2 linked regions of the Nothobranchius furzeri genome follow. The protein of the gene in region 1 purifies or fractionates together with the protein of each later gene. This does not show direct contact. Links are inferred from orthologs where the notes say so. Each region holds a gene or a part of one and is shown on either strand. Other genes may lie near its edges.

Region 1 (3,822 bases):
TCACATTCACACACTGCCAGTGATGGTAAGCTTCTACGTAGCCACAGCCGCCGAGGCGGTCTGACAGAAGCGAGGCTGCCATTTGGTGTCGTTGACCCCTCTGACCACCACCAACATGGGCAAGTTGGGTGAAGTGTCTTGCCCAAGGACACAACAGCAAAATACCCCTGGTGGGAGCTGGAATCTAACCCATGGCCCTCCGATCATGAGGCACACCGCTCTACCTCCTGAGCTACTGCTGCCGCCTCTTTGTGACTCTTTGACGGTTCAGCAACTTTCTTTAGCTTTTTTTTATTGTTTGGAATTGAATTTGATATTAAACTTCCATCTCTAGTGCTCATAACTTTCTTAATTTTTGTAGTTTGTTCTACATGTCGAGGGTAAATGTCAGCATGTTACATTAGTACAACAAAGTCTTTAATATTCTAGAGTGGTAAAGTGATTAAGCTAAACTGACTTCTTGTCCAGAACATCACAAGTAACTTGACTGACATCGGGAATCCATTCTGGGTTTCTGAATACTGGATGGTTGGTGGATGTGTTTTTTTCTGGACTTTTAGGATAAGTTTGTTGAATAGTTTTGTTTGAAAGTGTTTACTTTTGGCATATCAAACATTCATGTCTGTGAGCTGATAAAATAATATGTAGAAGTTAAATCATGTAAAAAAAAACGCACAATCATGAGGACCCATCTAGTTCTTATTTCAGTTAACTGGTTAAACAACATTTCAAAATGATTTCAGTCCTAAAGTTTTAAATGTAATTTCCAACCATTTCAATATTTTCTTTGTTGATTAATGTTGCTTGTTTTGATTTGAGGCCATTAGGGTCTGGATCGATTCGGTCAGAATGATCCTCCTGGCCCCCGGGTCATGTTTCTATGATTGTACCAAACTAAATCAGTCCGCTGGAACACTGTATCCTTAAAAAACGTTTTGCTTTGAGAAACTTTTCAATGCTGTTGTGTTGCTTCATGTAAAATACTTTTACAGAATTAATACATTCACAAGGTGGTTCTCATTCAGCATGTTTTTGTGTTTCTATTTATGCTGAAGGGTTGGTTTATGTTGAGCCTTTCCTTCGTTTGATGGCTCCTCCGATTCTCTCCTCATGCGGGACTTTGCATCTTTTTTGATTGGATGATGTGTAACTCAAGATTCTTTATCTGATTTGATGCCACCAAGGGGGTATCTGGTTTCAGCCAATTGTAGCCACCTCGGGGGGGTTAGGGGGGCAGGCGGATGTGTTGGCATGGATACGAGGGGAGAGCAAATGAAGTTAGTCGTTGATTAGATTATATTGAAGTGCTGATGGGAAGGAGGACAAGAACACACAGGACAGAGGCAGAGTTAGAGAAAATCGAAAAGAAAAAAGACGAGAGCTTGTTGAAAATGAGAGCGAAATCATATTTTACCGAGTGCTAGAAATGACCTCACATTGAATCCGTGTGCAAAAGAGAGTGGAAGAGTTTTGTTGTTGTGTCATCATCTGATATTTTGTGTGTGTGTGTGTGTGTGTGTGTGTGTGTGTGTGTGTGTGTGTGTGTGTGTGTGTGTGTGTGTGTGTGTGTGTGTGTGTGTGTGTGTGTGTGTGTGTGTGTGTGTGTGTGTGTGTGTGTGTGTGTGTGTGTGTGTGTGTGTGTGTGGCTTGTATTACTTTATTGGTGTAACTGAACAGCTGTCATTTGTAAATGGATGCAATTATGTTATTAGCAACTGAGTCTCTTTTTATCTCTCTGTGTCTCTTTTGTCATCAGACTGAGATTGCCAAGAGACTAAACACCATCTGTGCACAAGTCATTCCCTTCCTCTCACAGGAGGTAAGTGTGTGTGTGTGTGTGTGTGTGAGACACACACTGTTTTCTGTCCTGACAAATCTGTGTCTCATGCATGGTTCTGTATGTCTGCCTGCTTTCCAGCATCAGCAGCAGGTGGTTCAAGCTGTGGAGCGAGCCAAACAGGTGACCATGGCAGAGCTTAATGCTGTCATCGGGGTACGTGGACTGCCAGGTCTTCCACCTACGGTGCATATTTTTATCTCATTGTTTTAAATGCTTACACTAATTCTCAATTCTCAGTGTTTGTTTCAGTGCCTCGTGCTTTTCCCTCCTTTGATCTGGTGTGGAATTGGAAGCTGTTATTGTGGTTTTGATGGCTTTTGTTGCTAGATTTGAAAGTTCCCAGTTTGCTAATAGGATTCCAACAATGGTCTAATAGAAAGAATACAATTATATTGTATTTTTTTCAGAAACCTTTAAATGGAGTTTAGCTAATTTCAATATTGGCAGTTGAAAATGGCAAGATCCGTCACTAAAATAGACACAAATAATAAGACTGGAGTAAAAACCTTAAAAATAGAATATTAACACATATGAAAAAAATCCCTGCATAAAAATTGCAGTTAAATAAAATATAAAGTAGCTGCTACAACAAACGAAGGCTGGGTTGATATGTGGCGTTGTCTACAGGGTTTACAAATTTGCATAAGTACTCTGCACAAATACTTACTCTTTTTAACTCCGTATCTTAATGTTTACTCTTTAAGTCAGTCTTCCTCTGCTTGATCTCTTAAAATCTGTAGAAATTTCACTTAAGTTGTTTTGAGACTCTTACAATGCACAATCAAAAAACATTATGACCATTTTCTGTTCTTCAGTCTTGTATAAAGAAACAGGAGATGAAATGAAAGGACATATATCTGTTTATTTTTGTTTAACTGAAGTTTAATGATCTGCCCAGCTAATTGGCTTCAAGCTGTTTAATCATAGAACAGGTATCAAACTAGATACCTGCGCTACACAGCATCAGACTACGGTGGTGATATTTATTCACCACAAGAAAGAGCTTTTAGGAGTGGGAGCTGATCTTTTGGTGGTGATGACTCTTGAGGTGGGATTTGACAATAATATCGACCCTTACAAAAGGGTGTGTGTGTGTGGGTGTGTGTGTGTGGAGGGGTGTGAGTTTAGGTTTAAAAGAAATGTGGGAAAGATGGAGGGGGTATTTGTGGTTTTAGTGGGATCAGAGTGTAGTTGGCTTAGATGTGGGGTGGGCTTGTTAGTTGGTGTGGACTGATGGGGGTCTGTTTTTTTGTGTAATGGGGTGAGAGGTGGATTTGGCAGTTGCTTTTTGGTCTTAATTGCAGGATTTTTGTGTTTGTAATGGGGGGGTCACGTCGTTGCCCTCGCACCCCGCCATCTCCCCTCATCTCCCACGCCAGCCTGTCATTCACCCCGTTTGTGAGTTAAATGAGTGTAATGAAGCATGTTGCCCTGCCTCTACACACACACACACACACACACACACACACACACACACACACACACACACACACACACACACACACACACCATCCAATGACAAAACTGGGCTCCTCTTGTCTGCACCAATGCTTCCCCTCCATTTACTCCCGTCGGGGGTGCTTTTTGTGTAACTTTGTGTACGTAATTGTGCGTTAGTGTGAAGCAGAGCGTGCATTTCTGTTATCCTCAGAAAACAACATGCAGGCAGCAGTAGGTTAGTTGACTGAGAGTGTTTTTGCCTGCCTTGTTTATCTCCACTCTGCACATACATGTTAGTGCACTCAAGTGTGATGTGTGGGTGTGTTTGTGTTTCATTTTTTGGCATGCATGCCAACTGTTAAAATCGTGCATCAGGCAGCTGTGGGGGCTAGAAGACTGTTTAGTTGTTATGCTCTCATTCACTGGGGTGGAGGTAGGGAGTGAAGGATGGATAGAGAGGAAAAAAGAAGGTGGAAGCTCAGGGGGTGGGGTGGGTTAGTCAATTAGGTGAGATAAAAGTCGGTTTGACCTTCAGCACTCCT
Region 2 (3,605 bases), on another chromosome or scaffold:
TCGACTATCTGATGTGCAGACCTGCAGGGTTGTCCATCAAATTCACGATCCTGCGGCCAACCGCTGGCGACGCCCCGCAGATCCAGGCGGCAGGCCGGCGAGAGGAGCGCCTTCCCCTGGTCGCCTGCGCGCCACGTGTCCGCGGTCTCTGCACCAGCTGGAGTTGTGTGCGCAACGGAAAACCACGACGCGCTCCGATTTAAAAACATGAAGTCATTTACCTATTAAAGAAGCGCTTTTCCTCATTTGCATACACACACACATCATGCAAGCAAACTTTTAAGGAAGACAAACCCATTTCATTATAGTTGAAAAAAGTTTTTAAAGGTTTAATTATCACCTCGAATACACTATAAACCCCACATGATCCATAAATCTATGGAGGCTATCAGACAGCGGATTTTATAGGCATCCGTGTTTGTGAGTGTTGCACAACCTGAAGAGTGGAGCTGCTGCTCCAATAAACCCTCACGAGGCGATTGTTGACATTATTTCACTCTTTGTGTTCATCTGCTCTTACGTCCATCTAAGAACAATAAAGATAAGGAAAAGAAATTATGACCTGATATCTAAAGCCTTGAACGCTGTGAGGCAGCCACGGGCGGGAATGATGCGGGGGCAGGCTTCGGTGTGAGCTCTGCAGGCTCACAAATATCTCCGCTCTGGCTCACATTCCGATAAGGGAGCCCGATCCAGCTCCCTCAGTGGGCGTGGTTTTCCCAGGCTTTTAAAACAGCAGCTGCTATTTACCTTCCCCTCTAATGTAAACCACCGCCGCCGCCACCACACAGCCTCCCTCGCCCCCATACGCAGCCCGGTGGCCCCCCGGCAGCCCGGCGGCCAAACCTCCAACCATCGCGGGCTCATAAAACATCCTGGCACGTGCTCCACACTTACAACACCGACGGATGATTAAGTGGTAAATGTTGTACCACAGACTTTAAAGATGTAGTGTGGAAAGGAAGTGTGCACTTAAAAAGGGGTTTCTCCTGATTCATCCTCTCATGTCCCCCCGTGCTTTAAACGTCACAATTCTCGTGCCTTAAGTTAAAATAAAACAATTCCCGACACGTGTCCAAGAAGTTGTCAATTATACGTGGAGTAAAAATGAGATTTATTGATGGTGCGCATTGACTTTTCGCAGCTATTTGGTGTCTGGCAGATGGGAAGTCCCCGTGCCTGCTCCTGACAGCGGTGCCCAGTCAGCGGCTCCGCAGCTAATGTGTAAACGCTCCGATGATTGAAGGCTGCAGACAGTTTCCCCGGCTGCGCCCTGAACCCGCCAGCTCCAGCGGCCAAACAACCAATGGGAGGGCGCCGACCACGAGCCGTCCTCCCTCGGGCCGCGTGTCCCTCGCCCTGATTGGTTGAAAGTTACTGTGGGAAAGAAAGTTTGGGAAGTTTCACACGAGCCGCTCGCGTGCGGTGCCAGATATAAATACAAGGCACACGCGGAGAGCCCAACAGAGAGGCTGCATCCGCTCCCGGTAGCAGACGCCGCTGCGCATCGCTCCTTAACGGACCCACACGGTACACATCTCAGGATTCCTTTTGGGACTTTTGAAGATCTCATCATACTTTTTCACACACACGTGGATCATATTTTTGCTGTAGCACTGGGATATTTCTAATCAGCGACGAAGATGCCTGCCGACATGATGGAAAAGTCTTCATCCTCTCCGGTTGCTGCGACCCCGGCAAGCATGAACACTACTCCTGATAAACCCAAGACAGCATCTGAACATAGAAAGGTGCGTATTGGTGTAAAACCTGCCATCAGAGTCGGGATGATCGCAACATCCCTTAGATTATTTATTTTTGGTCGCGCTCTGAGCTTCGCGCCTGGTTCTAACAGTCTGTTGGTTTTACTTCCAGTCATCAAAGCCAATTATGGAAAAGAGAAGAAGAGCCAGAATAAACGAGAGCTTGGGTCAGCTGAAAACTCTGATTCTGGATGCTCTGAAAAAAGATGTAAGTTGTTAGCAGATCTCCGGGCTATCAGTGTCAGACTGAAAGTGAGCGCGTAATATTAACCAGGTGTGTTTTCCGTCCCCTCAGAGCTCCAGACACTCCAAACTGGAGAAGGCGGACATCCTGGAGATGACAGTTAAACATCTCCGGAACCTCCAGAGGGCTCAGATGACCGGTAAGTTTAATTTTACAACCTGATCTCGCATTGCGCGCTTTGAAATGAGCCAGAAAGCCTGGATGTTCTTTCAACACTGACTTATAAAATACCTTTCTGTCTCCCTGCAGCTGCGCTGAACACTGACCCCACCGTTTTGGGAAAATATCGCGCAGGATTCAGTGAATGCATGAACGAAGTCACGCGCTTTCTGTCCACCTGCGAAGGTGTGAACACTGAGGTCAGGACGCGCCTCCTCGGCCACTTGGCCAGTTGCATGACCCAGATCAACGCCATGAACTTTCCCAGCCAGCATCAGCACCAGCATCAGCTCCCATCCAACGCGGGGCCAACACACCCCTCCTTCGGTCAGTCCATGGTGCAGATCCCCAGCTCATCCCCGCAGGTCATGCCCATGAACCCGGGGTCCTGTAAAGGGGGCTCCTCGCCGGCCAGTTTACCTCCAGATGCCACCAAAGTGTACGGCGGCTTTCAGATCGTACCTGCCACTGACGGACAATTCGCTTTCCTAATCCCCAACGCGGCTTTTGCATCAAACGGCCCAATCATCCCGGTTTACGCAAACAACGTCAGCACGCCGGTGCCTGTTCCGGCTGCGGTGTCCCCCGGAGCTCCCTCAGGCAACTCGGACTCGGTGTGGCGGCCGTGGTGAAAGGACCACAATAAAGACTCTGACACTATTAGTTTGATGAACTCTAGAAAAGTTGTTTTTTTCCTGTAAAAATAAAGAGTATGCACTATATGTGTACAGCTAAGACGGAGTAAAGTTCATATTGAAATGGGATTTGTTTTGTTTAAGTCCGCTCACTGCATTTTATATATAAATAGGCTATATTTGAGGTTTTGTTTTCTTTTTTTACTGTGTGGCGCCAAAGAAATGTTTAATGCCCTTACGCTGTTCTTCGTTTTGGAAGACAAAATAAATTTGTTTAAAAAAAACTTGTAAAACAAATTTGTGCTGCTTGTTGGAGTTGGTCTCAGTGCGTCAAATTCATCATCACATTTCCGAATATCTTCATTAAACAAGTAAATGTTTTTGTGCTTAAAGTAAAGGAAACAACAGCTGCTTTACTATAACAACAATGATCTAAATTAGAAGTAATCGTGTGAGGATTATTTGGTTAATTGAGAAGGTTTTAAAATCCACACAGAAGCGCAATGATGCAATAGTCTAAACTGAAATGAAAAACTATTAATGAGCTTCCACAGAAACATTTTTATCTCAGAGTGTTAAACGTTTTCAGAAGTTTTAAGTTTATAAACAAGTGAAAGACGTCCGTGTGGCGTGAGATGATCAGTTTTTTTTGCACTGATTCACCAGACCTTACTTTTACCTTTACAGAGGTGACGCGCGCCATCTAGCAGCAGGAAACCACATTGCAGTCTGATTGATGGTGCAGGATTTACAGCAGGCGTTGCTGCTGTCATCAAGCTTGAGGAAATTTAGCAGATTTTGTCT

What was found.
Region 2: the proteins of transducin-like enhancer protein 1 (region 1) and her6 purify together in Homo sapiens (affinity purification with western blotting; 4 studies listed by BioGRID and IntAct, with this or other methods). This does not show direct contact. The link is inferred for Nothobranchius furzeri from reciprocal best matches to the Homo sapiens genes TLE1 and HES1.

The regions. Positions count from the first base shown.
Region 1 is NC_091757.1:48,842,902-48,846,723, reverse strand, and holds part of transducin-like enhancer protein 1, read left to right. Parts: intron 1-1,756; coding exon 1,757-1,819; intron 1,820-1,918; coding exon 1,919-2,023; intron 2,024-3,822. UniProt on the Homo sapiens protein: Transcriptional corepressor that binds to a number of transcription factors. Inhibits NF-kappa-B-regulated gene expression. Inhibits the transcriptional activation mediated by FOXA2, and by CTNNB1 and TCF family members in Wnt signaling.
Region 2 is NC_091748.1:61,413,112-61,416,716, forward strand, and holds her6 (hairy-related 6), read left to right. Parts: upstream 1-1,484; 5' UTR 1,485-1,643; coding exon 1,644-1,751; intron 1,752-1,875; coding exon 1,876-1,971; intron 1,972-2,058; coding exon 2,059-2,146; intron 2,147-2,256; coding exon 2,257-2,798; 3' UTR 2,799-2,897; downstream 2,898-3,605. UniProt on the Homo sapiens protein: Transcriptional repressor of genes that require a bHLH protein for their transcription. May act as a negative regulator of myogenesis by inhibiting the functions of MYOD1 and ASH1.